3 linked regions of the Drosophila melanogaster genome follow. The main gene of each other region encodes a partner of the protein of the gene in region 2 in a complex. Each region holds a gene or a part of one and is shown on either strand. Other genes may lie near its edges. The genes, in order: Nup153, Nup98-96 and Nup54.

Region 1 (4,751 bases), on a different chromosome or scaffold from region 2:
CGGTACCGGGTTTCTTACTGCCACCTTGGCCCACAGATGTCTCCGCAAGACTGCCGGAGTCTGAAGGTCGCATATCTACCGCTTTCATACCGTATCCAATACCACCAGTCATGGAAGCATGCAGCTGATGCGCCGGTGAGCTGCCGGCAGAATTGAGTCCCAACATTGAGGATGCGGCGGATGAGCTAAGATTGCTGCGACTGAAGAGGCGATTGTTGCCGGAATTGCCCCCGAAGGTGGTGCGTCCCTGGTAAAAGGGCGAGCTAGAGGCAGATGCAGAGCCTGAGTTAGAGGCACTGCCACTAAGCAGACGACTGTCGCTCAGTGCCGACGTACTGCCGTATATGGACGCATTGAAGCGACGTCGTTGGGTAAGGGAATTCAGCGACCACGTAGAATTCCGATGCGATTGCTGTGCGGCGGTGTTGCTTCTGTTAAATATTGACTTGGAGCTCTGCAGATTTCCGTAAAATTCTAAATTGCTGTTGCTGTTGTAATGCGACGGACGAAGTCCGTCGTGCCCTTCACCATTGTCGTGGTATTCGTTCATATCGCTCTCGGACTGCGAATCACCGCAACCTCCTGCGGCCGCAGACAGTTCACTTCGTCTTGTTTTTGTCTCAATGACATTGTTGTTGTTATTATTATTATTATTATTGTTGCTAGTATTGTTGTTGGTCCTGCTTATTCTCAGCAAATGATTGAGATGTTCTTCCGAACTCATGGCCGGGCCAGTCCCCGTCTCATCCATGGTAAGATCGCGTCGATGGGTTTGCTTGCCTATGAGCGATGGTCGCTTGTGGTTAGGAAGGCTGGATAGGCTGTTGTTGTAGCTGGTAGCGGTGCTGCTGCCTCCGAAAGGTATGTTCAGTGAACGGCGGATGCTAAAATGATTTAAATGATTGCCTTATAATTTTCACTAAGGTTTTCTTCTTTTTCGTCTTGGCAATAGCCTGGCTATGCAACGCCCAAATTTGAGTTTGTTTGAAACGAGCTCTAAGGTAGTTATCTTTTTGAATTCCATATTAACACTTTTAGTAAGCATGACTGCAGTAACATACCTGTGTGGCAGATCCCCGGTGCTTCCCTCGGCAGCTTCGTTGCCCGTGAAAAAGTTGTACGCGGGTTCGCGCTGCCGTTGACTACCATACAAATTGAGGTGATTGCGCCGATGTGGCGCAATGTGGCTGACGCCCTTGTACATCTGGGAGCTGGAGGAGCTGGTGGCAGCCGCGAGCGGAGCAGCAGGCGTGGATGACAAAAGGGGCAGACGACGCATGTTCGGCAAATTGACGGGGGTCTCCAGCTGAAAGGGATTCAAGATTAGTTGGGAAATGTAGACAGGATTGAAGATGTGATCTTACCTCCAGGCGTCGACGCTTGGTCTGCACGGCGGCGGACTGTTGGAGATTCTCCTGCTCTTCATCGTCATCCTCCTCATCGCCATCCTCGTCGTCCTCTTCCAGTTCATCCTCCTCGGCCTCATCCTCGTCACCGCCGGCAGCTGCAACAGCCCCGGCTCGCTTGCGCAGCAGGAACACATTGTACTCGCTCCGCCGCGTCTGTTCATCCTCGGCGGCCAGGTCGTGTTCGGCTATGTTGTCGGCCAGGGCCACCTCCTCATAGTTGAGGCCTTTGGCATCGGAGCCGTCATCAAGATCATCGGCTGCATCGGCATCCACTTCGGCTAGCATTATCCGACGGCGTCCTCGTTTCCGCTTGGTAGTGAGGCGTCCATTGGACTGGCGTGGCTGTGACTGGCGGAGATTAGCTGGGGAGGATAAGGCATCGTTCCCATCTTTGGACGACGGCGAAAACCAACCGCTCAAGGAGGCGGGCAGAATGCTGGACACGCGCATCTTCATCTTCCCCATGATGGACTGCAATTGCAATTGCACGGAAGTTGGATATTTGATGGGAACCAAGTTATCGTCGACTGTACTTACGTTGTTGCTGTCAGACTCCCGTAGGGCTCCCGCCGAGGATTCATCCTCTTCCTCCTCCTCCTCCTCGCTTTCTTCAGGCAGCTCCTTGAGCGGCGTCAGCGGATGCTTTTTGGCCAATTCGGCTTGCGAGGATTCCCTTTGCTCCTGTGCATCCTCCATTATGCCGCTTTAGATTCAGACTCACCTTTTTAGCCGGCGAAGCAACGGCACAAAAGAGAGATGCAAAAAAAACGCGAAAAAGAAGCGTTGCCGCACACACAACAAAAAACGTAAGTAAAAAAAAAAACCAAAAAAAAAGCACACACTGTTGCAATTCCTGCGAGCTAGTTTGTATGTGTAGGTGCGGATAATGTTCGCTCACTCGCTTCGTTCTCACTCTCTATCCTGCCTTCTCTCTCTGTCTGTGCGTGTGCAAAGGTGTGAGTGCGCTTACGCACGCCGTCGTGGTTTTTTTTGTTCGCGTTTCGCCGAGGTTTTACACACGCCGCGATATTTTTAAATAATATTCTGTTTGGCGCCACAAACTGGTCGCGTTTGATCAGGATTTGACTTCTTGGCCACCAATGAAGAGCAAATTCTGGGCACAAGCACTGCAAAATTAGAGGCGGGAAAAAGGATTGAATACCGAATTCGGGCGAAGCGCTCGAGGTTCTTGCTTTTGGCTTTGCCCTTACCGCTTTCCAGCATGCCGCCCGTTTTCTTCAATATTTGTTTTACTTTTGCCGGATAGATTTGATATATATTTGATATATTTTCACCTTCCTTTTGTCTTTGTGCTTCTTCCACTTCTTCCGCACACACTGCTTTCGCAATTCTTCGTTCCTCTTCTTCACGCTCTGCTCACACACACACGCGCGCAGCGATTCGGTACGAATTTTGGCGTTTTACCGCCGCGAAATCCACACTTTTAATTGCAATTTAACATTTGCCGCTGGTCGCATTCAGGTTTTCCATTGTTGCACGAGAACACGCACCACCGATTTGCAAGAAACAGAATTTCAAAAGAGCACGATTTGATTGGGGAAAAAACGCGTGTGTGGCCACAAAGTAGAGCTGGAACCAAAATCGATGTTTGTCAGATACTATCGGCGTGTCGGGCAGCGTGTGCTAATCGATACGTTGCCTGCAGCTATCGGTTACATGCACGTTTACGGTTTGGAAGTCTGTAATTATTAAATATTTTTAATTGGTGATGAACTGCCATACGGGCTTATTACTCAAGAACCGCTTCAAGTGCGACTTATAACATATGTAACCATTTGCTTGTGTTGTCATTTGAATACTAAGCATTTGCATTGACTAAAAGGAATTCTCGTTTGTATCTTTAAGTTGGAGTGAGGTATTTGTTTAGGTTTTTACTTGGCTGTGTGATAATGCAAAAGTTTAAATACTGTACTAATGTTAATCGATAGTTGTCCTAAAAAGAATTTCCAGCGAGTTAAAATTCAGCGAGTGCTAGAGTGACCACAGATTCTGCATTAGAAATAAAGCAAATATAATAAACGAACATAATATGAGCGCCAAATATAAAAGCCCTTATTAAGGTGCAAATATGACAAAGAAATTATACAGTATAAATGTTAAATAAATCTTAAAAAATGGGTTATAGGGGAAACCATATTGTTTTGGTTCAATTTTAGCAAGCCATTTTAAAACAACTTGAATTTACTACTAGATGAATCAAATATGTTACCTCTTAACGTCTAAGAAATTTACATTTTTAGGGCTGGAAAATAAATACCGCTAGTCGATATCGTCATCTTCTCAGTTTTGCCATCCCTAGTTGTTGTTATTGTGTTCGTCGTGTTGTTGTAGCACAGTTGTTGTTGTTGCTGCTGCTGGGCAAACAAGTGTTAAAAACTATTTGTGCTGCAATATTTTCAGCAATTACCGACCGCCCTCGCCGCTGTTCACCACCCAACTTAACCAGCAACCCAGATTGGAGCAACAAAATCCACAAAGGCATAAAGAATCGACTTACACAATAAAACCTTAATCGGTTGGGTAAACAACTTGATTGCTGTGAGCAGCCAGTTGGGTTAATCTCTTCGATTTGTCAAGTCCAGCAACAATGAGCCAAACGGAGGCTAGCAAGACACCCAAGATTCCGGACTCGGAGCCGGACGGATCGAAGGGCAAAGGGAAGCAACAGCTGGAAACTTACCGGGTATATGTGGTCACCTGGAATGTGGGCAGTCGATTTCCGGATAACATATCCCTCCGCCATCTGCTGGGACTGCAGGATGTGACGGTGGATAAGGACACGAAGGAGACTAATGCCCACTTGCCGGACATCTATGCGTTGGGGCTCCAGGAGGTCAATGCCCAGCCGCAGCAACAGGTGTTGGGACTGTTCAAGGAGGATCCGTGGACGCACAAGGCTAAGGAACTGCTACGCAACTACGACTATGTGGCCGTAAAGACCGAGCAGATGCAGGGGCTGCTGCTCAGCATGTTCGTGAGGCGGCAGCACGTTGAGCACTTGCAGGACATCGAGGCGGAGTTCACGAGGACCGGTTTCGGTGGCATTTGGGGCAACAAGGGCGCCGTCAGTGTCAGGTTCACCCTTTACGGCTGCGGACTGGCCTTTGTGGTGGCCCATCTGACTGCCCATGACCATATGATGGACGAGCGCATCGAGGACTACAAGCAGATACTGGAGAACCATCACTACCACGTCAAGCGGTATAGGGAGATCTACGATCACGACTATGTCTTCTGGTTTGGCGATCTGAACTTCCGACTGCAGGGCAGCGATTCCTCGACGGAAGTGCGCGAGTTGGTACGCGATGAGTCCCAGCACGA
Region 2 (7,737 bases):
TCTTCCAGGGAATGCATACGTTTAGAGTGTAACTGGAGCAAGTGGTAGCGCAAATCGTAGACGGGCTTCTTGGTGTCAGTAGGTGCGTCCCTGTAGCTGGGCTTTGGGGGCTCCGCATAGCACTCTTCCGCTTGGAAGGCGTCGTTATAAGCATTGAGTGCATCGGTGATAGACGATGTTGGGGCTGTGAAATACCATAGCTGCAGGGCCAGTGCTGTCAGCCAGTTTTTATTCTCGAGTAAGTTGATGGCCCCATGTGAAGACTGCATCATTGGCGCTCCGGCGGCCAGCATGTACATCTTAAGGCGCTCCAGATCGATATACTTATCCGACTTGCTCTGCTGCCAGGCAAAGAGCTGCTCCTCCATTAATAGCCGGAAGACAGCTCCGGAACTTAATTGGGACAGCACAAGAGCCAGATTAGCATCATCGTAGCTGAAGGCCAGCTCACAAGCCTCATTTACGCGATGGCAGCTAAGTAAATCCAACATGTGCTCCAGGTAGCTGTGGGTGCTAACTTTTTTCGAGAGTAGATCTTTGCCCAGCAGCGTGTTCTCAAGCCACTCGGATAGCAGATTGCGCCGACACATGACCATGTAATGAGAGTTCTTTTCCAGGTCCACCAGTTCATCGTGATCGCCCCATAGTGCGAATAAAAGCGACCACACTGACACGCTATAGTCCTCTTTTAAGCCAGCATTTCTCTGCTTAAGAGACTCGGAGAAGTGCTTGGAAACTAGTTTCGTACCGCTATCGGGATGTATACACGGGCACTCACTACCCTCCACATTAACTGAGAGGCAGTCGTTAAGCTGAACTTCGAGATGGGGAATGATACTTTCTCGAAAACCCTCGTTGCCTTTGACCATGTTAAACTCCACCAACTGCATTACACTGGGCGACAAATCGGTGGCCGAGCGCGGCGCAAATACCATGGAGACGGGCAGGGATGGTCCAGTAACTGAAGCAAAGGGAAATTATTATAATTGGACTGCTACAGCTTGTTTCAGATATTCTTACATTCTTTTAGGTTTTGCATGTTATTATAGGTGCTTGGCAGTACCAATGAGTTTTGTGGACCAAAACTGAGCTTAAAGCTGCGTCCTTTGTAGAATCCCAAATCGGCGATCCAATTATCGCGCATCTCATAAGCGATGGACCTGGGTAGGGGAACCGTGGTGGCACGCAACTTAATCGGAGCCACTTTGGGCTTACAGACAAACTTGAAGGCTTTAGTGACAGGCATTTCAAACTTCGTTTCTTTTACAGCTGCAACAATGCTTCCAGTTGCCATCGACGATGTCTGAAATTGATCAGGATGTTTATTGGGCTTCAAAGTAAAAGGTTACGTCGATATACCTCCTCATAATGTGCATCACACATCAGGCTGGCCTCAGAGACGGAGGAAGAAATCGGCAGAGCGGGCGATGGGTGTTCAAAATCGTACTGACTGGAACTCTCGGAGGCACCATCTTTCCAAACAAGAGGTTCCACGTTGAAAAACTTGCGATGACGAAGAAGACGCCCCGTAGTCTCTGTAGAAATTTATGAGTAATTTTCAAATGTATAGTGGCCGTGTGGGATGATAAGCAGTGAATTGTTGTAATTATAATGAATTGTTGCCAAAGCAGGCAAAATGAATTGGATTTACTAACACATTTGAAAGCTTTATTAACTTTATAATTTGTGCTACCTTTTTAAACATAAATATATATATATAATACTTTTTGCAACGATCAAAAATCATTAAATATCGTTGATAATTAACAATACATATTTGCTCAAAACTAACGATTAACATTTAAACATCTACATATCTTTTACTGTAAGCAATTTGAAAGACCATCAAGAGATTATCCACCTACCCATGGGTTCGTCCTCGGGAGCATTGTCCTCCACAAAGAAGGATGACTTCATTAGCTGCATTTTGTGCGCCTCGTTGCCTACCATTTCCTGAGCCAAAACAGCTGTGGGACTGGTAATCGTTGGACGTTGACGCGGTGGATCAAACATGGAGAAATCGGAGTTGCCACCAGCTTGGAAAAATTCTGCGAATTAAAATTAAGTAAATTACAATTAATGAAACTAAACCTTTTAAAATGGACTTTAGACGTACGTGTTTTGTCCATTAAAAGGAACTCGGCGGTATCATCCATTGGCCTGAATCCGCTGGCAACACCTGCGACCAAGGCTTTTGGGTCCAAGTTACGGGCTGCATCTTCTGAAATCTTCTGCGCTTGGCGCAGCGAATTGAGCGTCATCTTTTCTGCGTTTGCCCGCTGCTGAGCCTCAAGCGTTGCAATTTTGGCTTTTTTCGGGTCAGTGGGCAACTCGTCCTCTTCGTCGCTGTCTCCCAGGCCATATTTAGAAAAGTGCTTGACGCGGAAGACCCAACTACCCGTTTCCGGGCGGTATTCTATAAAGCGCGTATCGTTTTTATCGCACACCCGGCGCAACTTGCCCTCCCAGTCCATCTCAAGCAAGCGTTGTGGGTCCTTGATGGCTTCGTGCTTGGTCTTGTCCAACGGCCATACTTGGTCCAAAGTGACCTGGGCGTCACGGTTTAGACCTTGACCAATGGGCGGCTTGTTTTCGTCGTCGGGATAAATGATAATCTCCTTGTTGCGAAAGTGGACTGTGATACAAATTGTTTTGCATTAAATAAATGTATGAGAGCAAACACAAACGGTTATAAAAAAACACAAGACTCTTACCAATCTCATCGAGGTTCAGGCCAGCCACATCCATTTCCTTGCCGAAGAAGACATTGCCGTATCCTTCCCGACCCACCGTAAAGTTCGGAACCACACAGGATCCGTCCTCGGCCAGATAGGAGCGTAGGTCGTCTAGCGATGGAATTGTATAGTAACCCACGCGTCGCAGCACAATGCCTGTTGGATGTGATTCGTCGTCTGCTGCCTCTGCAGCAGCTGCCTCAATGGCTAGGCGGGATTGGTTTGCTGCAGAGTCCTCTGCCTCATTAGATCTGTTCGAAAGCACACTCTCATTGGCCTGCTGCGAAGTGAAGGTTTCGCGACGTGCAATGGTGCTGGATTGATCCTCAAATGGATTCTCTGGGATGGTTGACACCGAGAGGCGAACGGTGGAGGATGGTCGGTATGTATCTAAAGGTTTACGTGGCACAAGCTCGTTGAGGGTGCTGTTATGGGGCGATCCCTGATCCATTCCAGTCTGAATGTTGTGCTGGCGTACCTTCTCAAGGTTGTTAGGATGCAGCCATGACTCACGGCGGCCGTTATCCTGACTTTCCCGTCCATTCGTTGCTCCAGGCGAGTTTCCAGCTGGTGGTAGCGGCTCACTTGGAATGGCTCCGCTAAACGACTCGCGTTCTTTGTTGGGAGTTGCGCCTTTGGGTCGAGATTGGGGCGTGTTGGGAGCACTGCCAATAGAGCTAGAGGGATTTCCACCCTCTACACTTTTTACTTTGGGTTTGATAACTAATCGTTTAGCACTGGGCTTCAGATTGAAGCCCTCTACAGAAGCATCAAACTCCTCGAGACCATCAAACAGCGATTTTCTATTAAGTGTGCTGCCCAGCGCCTTTACCTTCATTGGAGCAGGATTGTTGCTGGTACTTATCTTGTACTGGTTGCTGGTCAGGTCCAGAACTGCTTGTTGGGCAGCAGGATTTGTAGCTCTTGTTGCATCTGCTTCACTGCTTAGCTTTAGATCCTTGAAAATCGGAGAGTCTCCGTAGGGAGAAGTTACCCTAGCTAGGATCTGCTGATGAATGGGCTGGTGTGAAGGCGTCATGATACCCAGTGTGGGCTGAGCTCCCATAATACCACCAGTTAACGAGTTGTTTGTACCCATACCGAAGCCTCCTCCGCCCAAGGAACCACCGACACCTCCGAAACTGGTAGTTCCTCCTCCAAACAGTCCTCCCGTTGGGGCAGCACCCGTGCCACCCAAGGTTGTAGTACCTCCTCCAAAAAGACCTCCTCCCGGCTTGGCTGTATTTCCGAAAAGTGATCCGCCCGTGTTGCCTGCGTTGAAATTAAGTGGTGCTGCGCTGGTGGCTCCAAAACCTCCGAATCCGGACGTTGCTGGCTTGTTCAATCCCGAGTTAAAAAGGCCTCCTCCCGTTGCTGCTGTACTGGTGTTCAGGCCAAAATTTGAAAACGGAGTGCTAGCCGTGGAGGTTGCGCCGAAAGTTGGAGCAGCAAAGCTAGTGGCGGGCTTGTTTCCGAAAAGGCCTCCGCCGGCGGTGCTTGTTGCTGGAGCTCCAAATCCAAAACCTGTCGTGGCTGCTGATGCAGCCGTTCCCAACCCAAAGGCTGATTTATTTGGATCGGCGGCTGGTGTGGCACCAAAAAGAGTTGACTGTTGCGTTGCTCCGGCTGTGGTTCCAAAGCCTCCGAATCCTGTGTTAGTCTGTCCGAAAGCAGGAGCCGCACTGGTAGCAGGTGCCTGACCAAAGAGGCTTCCTCCCTGTCCAAAAGCAGGCTTCGCCCCAAATGGATTTGAAGCGTCAGCTGCGGGAGCGGCAAACGGAGTGGTGGTGGTGGCTCCAAAGGGCTTTTGCAGAAAGTTGTTTTGCTGGGTTGCTGCTCCGAATGCATTGTTAGTCGCCGGTTGTTGGCCAAAAGCGGTGGTGCCAAACATGCTCTTATTCTCGGTCACAGTTTGGCCAAACAGACCTGTGCTTGGTTGGGCAGTGCTTCCAAACAGGCCACCACTTGCAGGCTGAGCGGGCTGAGTAACCTGAGCTCCAAATCCAAAAGCTCCCGGAGCATTCCCAGCCTGTGGACCCTTGCGCCCGCACATATAGTCTTCCAGGCGGAGCTCCTCCAGAGATTTGCCCTCGAACTCCTTCATAGCCGTGATGCAGTGCTGCTTAGTGTTCACACTATTTGCCTGACCGCTCTTCATCAGGGTATCTGTACCAATGGTTGGCTGGTACTTGGCCACGGCCGTGCCCGTATTGACTCCGGAAGCTCCCACGGCCGTAGCCTGAGGTTGGGCAAAGGCGGAGGCGGTGCCACTGCCAAAAACATTGGTGGTTGTAGGCGCCGACGTCCCAAAGCCTCCGAATCCTGTTGTACTGGTGGCGGCAGCCGGTTGGCCAAACAAAGAGCCCGTGGGCTGAGCAGCAGCTGTTTGCCCAAAGGCCGTCATAGTCGGCTTGGCGGCTCCAAAGGCGGGTAGCGTCGATTGTCCAAAGAGGGAGGTGCTTGCCGCCGTCTGGGTGGATCCAAATATGTTCGAGGTCTGTTGCGGCTGCGAGAAGGCTGCAAAGAAGAAATTACTAAATTAGTAACATGATACCACTTCAAATGATCGTGTCTAACCTCCAAAAGCCGTGGGCTGAGCTGTGGCAGTGCTTCCAAATCCCGTGGACGTGTTTGCCCCGAATAAGCCTCCGGCGGGCTGAGCTGGTGTGGCTGCCGCACCGAACAGTGACTGCTGCGCGGGTTGGGCGGCAAAGGTGGAGGTGTTTCCAAAGGCCGGTGCGGCGGGTTTGCCAAATGCCGACTGGCCAAACGGAGTGGTTGTTGTGGTGCCGCTGAATCCGCCAAAGCTGGTGGCCGCCGGAGTGGCTCCGAAGCTGGGTTTCGCGCCGCCAAACATTTTGCTCGCTGCTGCTGCTCAGATAACAAACATATACTAGGTAGATCCCCTGCTTTGTCCTTCGCCGGAATGCCAACTATCGCGATGAGCAATGCTTCGATTTCACCACGTTGGGCAAGCTGGGGCGGCTGCGCCGGATGCGAAGGTTGTGGGACCGGACAGGCTTAGCTTAAAACAAATAAACACTCGCGAATTTGTCAAGTCAGCAGGAGTCGACCGAGTCTGACGCAAAAAGTGGACAGAAATGGCGCGCCGATTTTTTCACGATGTTGAAGAAAATGCAGCCAAAAGTGTGACCAAGGCGTGAAATCGCATGCAAAAATACACTGTAAAAAAGCAGGATACAACTGCCAGGCGCATAACTATTGACCATAACTTATTTATGGTCTTAATAAAATTTTTGCTTGGTGCCTCCGAAGCAAATTTACTATGAATGTGTGGAAAATGTATTTTATAACTTGGGTTTCTCGTATTTTGTAGGTAAGCTCGATTTTCACATTTTTATGTGACCGTACTGCGAACAAAGTGAAAACCCATTTGACATCAACGGTGTGAACACGCTGTAAGGGGCACTCTATATTTGATATTTTCGATTGGGAACAGTACGGTACTTCTGGGCATCGAGCACGCTCATTCACAACAAACAGTTGAAACGCGCGGGTTGTTTTCCGAGAGCGGTTATTTAATTAATTGGCAACTGTCACACACGAGTGTGTGTGCGATCGAGTGCGTGTACATGTGATAATTAGCTGAGCGGCAGCGGCCAACTCCCAGCCCAAATACAAGTCGAGAACAAAACGAGCGAAAAACGGCGCAAAATGCATTTGCGGAGCGACAATTTGTGCGGAATGCTAGCTTTTGTGCAATAATTATTTATTGGTTGCAATTGTCCAACCGGTGTGCTTTTCGTCGAAATCTGTAGCGAAATCGGAGGCGAAATGCTTGTGTTGGCGGCATTGTGAAAACGAAATCAAAATTTCAACTACGTGTTGCTCTTTTGCCGTTGCCTAATTTAATGTCTTGTTGTTTTTATTTTCGCAAACGAAAGTCCATCGCTTTGCATGTGTGAGTAGCGATCGTTTGTCGCCGTGTTGGTGGTAAAAGTCGGCGCAAAAACAACAATATCAGCAACAACACTAGTAGAAGCAACAACAACGAGAAGAAAAGCCTTCAAGATGAGTGTGTGGAGCGACTGCAATGCCAAGCAGGCAGAATTCGGCATTGGTAAGTTGGCAATGCGGCTATTAAGCCGATAAATTAGGTAGAATATGGCTAGGCAGGAATGTTTAAACAAAGTGCTTTGTAAACAACAATAAAGGAAAACTTTATGAACTGTTGGGCGCTCTTTTCCAGAGCACACCTCATCTCCACCCCCACCTCTCTCTCTAACTCTCTCTCTTATTTCACCGCATGTGTGTGCCTCCTGCTGCGTTGCTACGGTAAAACTTGTTGCACCTTCTCGCTTGCACACGCTCACTCGGCTGCTGTTGATCCTCCCTTTCCCGCTCTCACTGTGTTGTTTCGTTTTTCATTTCATTTCATCCTGCTCAGTCAACACTAGCATAAAATTCTGAGATTTGCTCTTGAAACTAAAACCTGTTTTCTATTGTCTCTCTCGCTTTTCATACTGTCTCTGTCTCTCACGTGCAACTGCAACACACTGCCAGAAAAAAGGCCTGGTACACATAAAGAAATTTTATACAATTAATGTAATTTTACATAAACTTAAATCTGAAGTACTACAACATTAGTACTACAACTTTTACGTATTTACGGGTGTGGGATTTGAAACCTGGTCTTTGTAAACCCAAGGCAAGCTGCATCAAGCTGACAGTAGAAATGTTTATTTTCTGTGTACACTGTGAGACAAATCCCAATTCAATGGCAGTGACCATGAAATATCTAATCGCGACCCGCTTCGAATGCGTGTGAATTTTTTATGGATCTCGTTTTGTTGACCTTTTCACCGCTGATCAATAGATACGACAGGTACATAAAGTACAGGTACCTCTAGTCCCAGGTAGATCGAGTGGAACTGGGAATCTCGTTCGTTAACACTCGAATGGAGCTTGCCGGTGTGTTTGCACTTGTTATTTACACACGTTTGCCTCTGCCTCTGCCCTTTTTTGTGTTTGCGCGTTTACT
Region 3 (5,133 bases), on a different chromosome or scaffold from region 2:
CGATGTGAGGCCTCCTTGGAGCTGGCCAATTCATTTATACTGGCGCTACATGCTCCAAACGGAAGCTCGGAAGTCTCCGCCATCAATGGCCAACAAAAAACCTGCACGGACCCTGGCTGGCTGGTTGACTGGGAGAAAACTAGTTTCCCACACAAGAAATAAATATGTAACGAGCCAACTAACTAGACTGCACATGTATGCACACGCCAGAGCACATAATAATGTTAATGTAACAACGATGGTGATACCGATGCTGGGAGTTGAACAAACTGGAACTGCCAGAGACGAACCGTTTGCCACTCATAATGAGTCCGAGCGATTGCCTTCTGCCTAGCCGTCGAAATTGGACAATTTCAGACAGTGGCCGAGGAAAAGTCGGGCGGTCCAAGAGCTGTGCGGTGCAAGTGCATTGACCCACACAATTATTTCCGCAGCATTGGCGACGAATGTGTGAACTCGTTTCGATTGTTTCGACTCCATTGCCCGTAAAAGTGCAAGTTCAAAGCTACAGGAAATGCTAAACGACGACATAATGGCAAAAGTGTAACGGCCACAACTTGTTCGTTGTCTCGATCATCGAAAATCACCGGGTTGTGTTACACATATGTGGGTTTTATTCAACGTATCAGCTCATTTCCATTCCTATCACGATTGTCGCAGCTCGGGCAGTCCTTTAATTATAACATCCAGCGCCCTCAGGTCCTTGTTGACGGTATCGCTCAGCACCTCCATGGCGCGCTGCTGCATCGTCAGAAAGGTCTTCATCTCGTCCTCCGCTTCCTTGTCGAGGGCATACTCGGCACCACCGTTGGCTGCGAATTGATTGCGCTGCATGCGCATCTGGGAGAGGAGCTCGCTGAGTCGGCCCTTGAATTGGGTGGGTGCGGAGACGACAGCCAGCATGTTCTGTAGCTTGGTGCGCAAGGCCTCCTCCTCGGGCGTCAGGGAAGTGCCCACCTTGCGGGTGCACTCTTGTTTCACTATTATCTGTGGTTGAAAAATGCGGATTTCTGAATGTAAAAATAAAGTTGGGTATTTAACTAGGTGTCCCTACCCTTAGTATGCGATGACTGAGCTCGGCCAGTTTCCGTTTATGTTCAAGTATCTTCGCTGTGGCAGTGGCATGGCGCTTCTTGAGTTCTGTCAGCTCACTCTCCACCTTCTTTATGTACAATGCATGCGTGTCCGTTTCTTGTTCCTGACACTTAACGCGCCACTTTAAGTCGTTAAAGCCCACCATGGGCACTGGTATATATAAAGTTGGATCTGGATTGTCGGAATTGGCCTGACGCCACATGCGCGGATCCACGCCGCGGGGTGGATTTTCAAGGTACTCCCTCAATTGATCTTCGTCGGGTAATACCAGAGCCAAAGCCTCCACAACACCTAGATTATTGAGCTGTGGTTTCAGCGTCGCCTGATTAAGGTAGTTTGAGAGTTCGGTGGCAAGTATACGCTTGCTTTCGTTGGGAGCATGTTGAAGTTTCTCCTCGACATAAATAACAATTTGGCACTTTTTGTTCTCCAACTCCTTGATGGAATCTATGTGAACAAGCATGTTGGGCTTGCTGCCGAATAAACTGTGAAGCGTTTGAATCACTTGTTGCTGGTGTGGCCTAAAATAAAATGAATTAATACCTATGCCATGATGTAGACAAGCACTAAGACTTACTTGACAGCTGAGAGTTCTCTGCAGAAGTTAAGAGCCACCAGTCCCAACTTGTTATCCTTGCCCGGCATACGACTGTAGCCTATGGCCTTGAACCGGCACATCACGTTCTCCGGCGTAATGTCTACCGGTGCCGCACTCTGGGAGTAAAACATTTTCCCAGTGCCCCACGTAGCCTGCAAGTAGTTCCATTTGGCCACTATTTTGTCCCGTTCATCCCCGAAAATGGATACATTCAGAATGGATTGGGCAAACGCCTCGTCAGCCGATATGGGCGCTGGCTGCTGTTGCGGCTGTCCAAGCATAAAACTGGTGCCTCCGAATCCACCAAATCCCGGCGTAACTGTTGTATTCGCTGGTTTTCCGAACGCTGAAACATAAACCAGGTTAGGAATACCACAGAAAGACAAATGGGCTTATTTAACTTACTGGATCCGAAGGCTCCGCCCCCAAAGCCAGTGGACTGGCTGGTGCCAAAGCCACCAAAAGCAGGTGCCGACGTTGTGGTTGTGCCAAAGCCTGAAAATCCACTTGCTGGCGCTGTACTCGCAGCTGCCTGTTGGCCGAATCCGCTAAAAGCTGGTGGTGCTGCACTAGTCGCTGGAGCGCCGAACAGACCGGCCTGACTTGTTGCCGGAGCTGCTCCAAATCCGCCGAAACCGCCTCCTCCCAAACCCGTGCCCGCAGTTGTGGTTGTCGCCGCACCAAATGCCGGAGTACTGCCAAAGGCGGAGCCGCCAAAGGCAGAAGTTCCTGTGGCGGCTCCAAAAGCCGGGGCTGCAGCGGTTGCTCCAAAGGCGGAACCTGCTCCGAAGGCAGAAGTCGCCGGTTGGGCGCCAAAAGCCGGAGTCGATGTGGCCTGTGCTCCGAAAGCGGGTGCTGGCTGGCTGGTTGCAGCTGTGCCTCCAAACGGCGATCCGAAGAGGCCACCGGTTGCTGAACAAAAGAGATAAGAAGACCAGAAATGGGTCAGTGTTTTGAAAACTATGCTTCTGCCTTGGATTCTTATCTGAGATTTCGGGTTCCAAAATACTACAGAAGCTGCCCTTAGTTTGCTTCAAGCTCTGGTCGCCTGCTGGTCGTGGAAAATGGCTCTGGTTTTTATATTGCTGATCCTCCTGCTAGGTTTTGTGGGATACGTCGCCTATGTGGTCCACAAGAAGGGGTGAGCATCTTTGTCTGGCCACATAAGAACACTGACACCATGTAGCCCGTCCCACATCCAGCATAGATCCCAAAGACATCCGCATCCACAGCCTGCAGGACGCCAAGAAGCTGCTGAAGCCTCCACCAAGTGGAAATGGACCCCACAAATATTTGGAGAAAAGGGCATGAGGTCTTGTTTACGGAAACTCACTTTTGGCCGGCGTGCTTGTTGCTCCCAGCGACGTGTTGGATCCGAAGAACGACATGATGCGGTATTCTCAAGGACGTTACTTTGCCGCACAGTTTGGGTTGCCTTTCCTAGGGGCCGGAATTTGTACAATTCTATTTTATTGTAATAAAATTAGTCTTAATCCTAATAAACGTAAAATTTTGGCGCTTTCTAGCAGTGTTACCAGATTGTAAATGGGCTCTCACCCTTGCTGACAACAACACTTGAATTTCCCTTATTAATTTGGTAACACTGCCGCGCGGTCTAAATTATCGATAGTCTTAGGCCCGACTTTTGATTATTAGTACGCTATAATTTGAAATTTGGCGGCAAGAAAATCAATTCGCCACTTCAATAATCCTGTCAAGTTTTTAATTCTAGTTTACGCCTCCTCTCTAATGTTTGAACTGAATATAATATCCTCCTTTCTGATCATTGCTTTTCTTTTTGATATAGTAACTTCCATGAATGGATACTATTTTTGTTGTTTTCACATTAAACTCTTTCGTGACTCTAATAATTAAACACTCTTTGGGCTTGTTCTTTTCTTTATTGATACACTTATAGCATAGCATAGTATAGATTTTGGTTATCAATAGACATACACCATATACAAATTTCCTTGAAATTATTCCAATTTAATTGCAATAACGTTCAAAATTCATCGCAACCTCTGCTCACCAGATCCAAAGAGATACATTTATATATATCAATTACAAATTCGTGTCGCACATGCGCAAATTTTTTGAAATTTGCTAAAATTAACAGTGAAACTAATAATACGATCCGAGGGTTATAGCCCGATCTATAAACGATCTCGATCTATACAAGTCAATGCCGCGATTATCTTGTTTTGTAGCTTCTTGCTAGTTCGATTGCAACTCGAGATATGATTTAATTTCGAGCTGTGCGTTAAAAACTAGGGTGCAGACATTATTTCTGGTTTAGTGTTTTGGAAGTTAGTGGTCTTCGGATTCAAGTATATCGCTCCTATTTCTGGCTAATTCTATTGTTTTTTTTTTTTTTTAATTTTTATAATTAAATATGTTTGTGTTCGCATATATGCACGTTCTACAACTAGGTTTGTGTTAACAAAAACAAAAAAATTATAACAATTTTGTAAATGGAAATACAATAATAGTTTGCGTTCGTATGAGTGGATGAGTATAATGATTTTTGGGGCAACGGGCCGAAGGATCAAGGAGAAAAGGAAGAAACAATTTAGAAAACATCGACAACAACTCAAGGAGGTAGCGAACAAGCGATCGGTAAGCGCGTTTCTCATACACTTCGATATACGTAGGCGCATATATCTCGATTGGTTGTGAACGTGCTATATATATATGTATGTAACATTTCGATTAGTATGCGCGTGTTTCATAAAGTAGACAAGTATATGTTCTAGTGGCCTCCGGTGTGCTCGCTATCCTGGCTGTCGCTTTCTCAGAAGACGAAGCGGTTGATGTTCATGCCCAGTCCATTGCCTCCACATCCTCCGGGCGGCGGCGGCGCCTTGTCGTCCTCGTCACCATCGCCATCAAAGTTGTGCCGGCTGACAAACGCATTGCCGTGACCGCTGTTGCCACGCTTAAAGCGTTGCATCTTCAACTCTTCGTTGTAAACATGGTTGTCCTTTCTTACGTAGTCGCGAAGTCGGCGTGGCAACTCCTCCAGCTTCAGAGGCGGCGACAGTGGCACCGAGACCACCTGGTCATTTGAGCCCGATACCATACTCGAACTGCAGCTGGCCGTAACCGAATTAGACTCATTGGAGTGGCCGCACATCTTGTAGAACAGGATGTAGGGCGTGTTGGGCGAAGTGAGATTGTGCATCTCCTCCGGCTTGGAGTGGGTAACCACGTTATCGTTGAACTTGTACCAATTCTTGGCTTGATCCGCCGCGAACGTAAAGTAGTGACCGGAATCCATGCTGTACCCGGCGTGAACAACACCCGCATACAGATCATAGTGCACAGTGGACATCTCCTGCAGCGAGTCCTTTGCCGACATTTTTACTGTGACCTAGCGTGCGAAATGGTTAGCTAAACTTGTAGCGGAGAAATTCGCTGCGATACTTACGCTCTCATCG

Evidence for each region.
Region 1: Nup98-96 (region 2) and Nup153 share a complex: the UniProt entries of both Drosophila melanogaster proteins name them as parts of the nuclear pore complex.
Region 3: Nup98-96 (region 2) and Nup54 share a complex: the UniProt entries of both Drosophila melanogaster proteins name them as parts of the nuclear pore complex.

Annotation. Positions count from the first base shown.
Region 1 is NC_004354.4:16,597,509-16,602,259, reverse strand, and holds the start of Nup153 (nucleoporin 153kD), read right to left. Parts: upstream 3,020-4,751; 5' UTR 2,621-3,019; exon of another isoform or gene 2,537-2,620; 5' UTR 2,106-2,536; coding exon 1,947-2,105; intron 1,881-1,946; coding exon 1,365-1,880; intron 1,307-1,364; coding exon 1,062-1,306; intron 885-1,061; coding exon 1-884. Other genes in the region: CG9784 (uncharacterized protein), read left to right, coding at 4,018-4,751. UniProt on the Drosophila melanogaster protein: Component of the nuclear pore complex (NPC), a complex required for the trafficking across the nuclear envelope. Functions as a scaffolding element in the nuclear phase of the NPC.
Region 2 is NT_033777.3:23,775,573-23,783,309, forward strand, and holds the start of Nup98-96 (nucleoporin 98-96kD), read right to left. Parts: upstream 6,050-7,737; 5' UTR 5,593-6,049; coding exon 5,313-5,592; intron 5,253-5,312; coding exon 2,715-5,252; intron 2,636-2,714; coding exon 2,117-2,635; intron 2,049-2,116; coding exon 1,866-2,048; coding exon of another isoform or gene 1,846-1,865; exon of another isoform or gene 1,644-1,845; intron 1,536-1,643; coding exon 1,360-1,535; intron 1,304-1,359; coding exon 1,021-1,303; intron 962-1,020; coding exon 1-961. Other genes in the region: mbc (myoblast city), read left to right, coding at 6,768-6,816. UniProt on the Drosophila melanogaster protein: Part of the nuclear pore complex (NPC). Required for MAD import as part of the Nup107-160 complex and required for nuclear export of Moe probably via its association with Rae1. Plays a role in nuclear mRNA export.
Region 3 is NT_033778.4:12,427,856-12,432,988, forward strand, and holds Nup54 (nucleoporin 54kD), read right to left. Parts: upstream 3,245-5,133; 5' UTR 3,082-3,244; coding exon 3,027-3,081; exon of another isoform or gene 3,005-3,026; coding exon of another isoform or gene 2,896-3,004; intron 2,835-2,895; coding exon of another isoform or gene 2,758-2,834; exon of another isoform or gene 2,740-2,757; intron 2,606-2,739; coding exon 2,099-2,605; intron 2,040-2,098; coding exon 1,673-2,039; intron 1,617-1,672; coding exon 1,055-1,616; intron 988-1,054; coding exon 646-987; 3' UTR 594-645; downstream 1-593. Other genes in the region: CG43204 (uncharacterized protein), read left to right, coding at 2,758-2,834, 2,896-3,004; DUBAI (deubiquitinating apoptotic inhibitor), read right to left, coding at 4,488-5,066, 5,124-5,133. UniProt on the Drosophila melanogaster protein: Component of the nuclear pore complex (NPC), a complex required for the trafficking across the nuclear envelope. Essential for the nuclear import of nuclear localization signal (NLS)-containing proteins in an importin alpha/importin beta-dependent manner.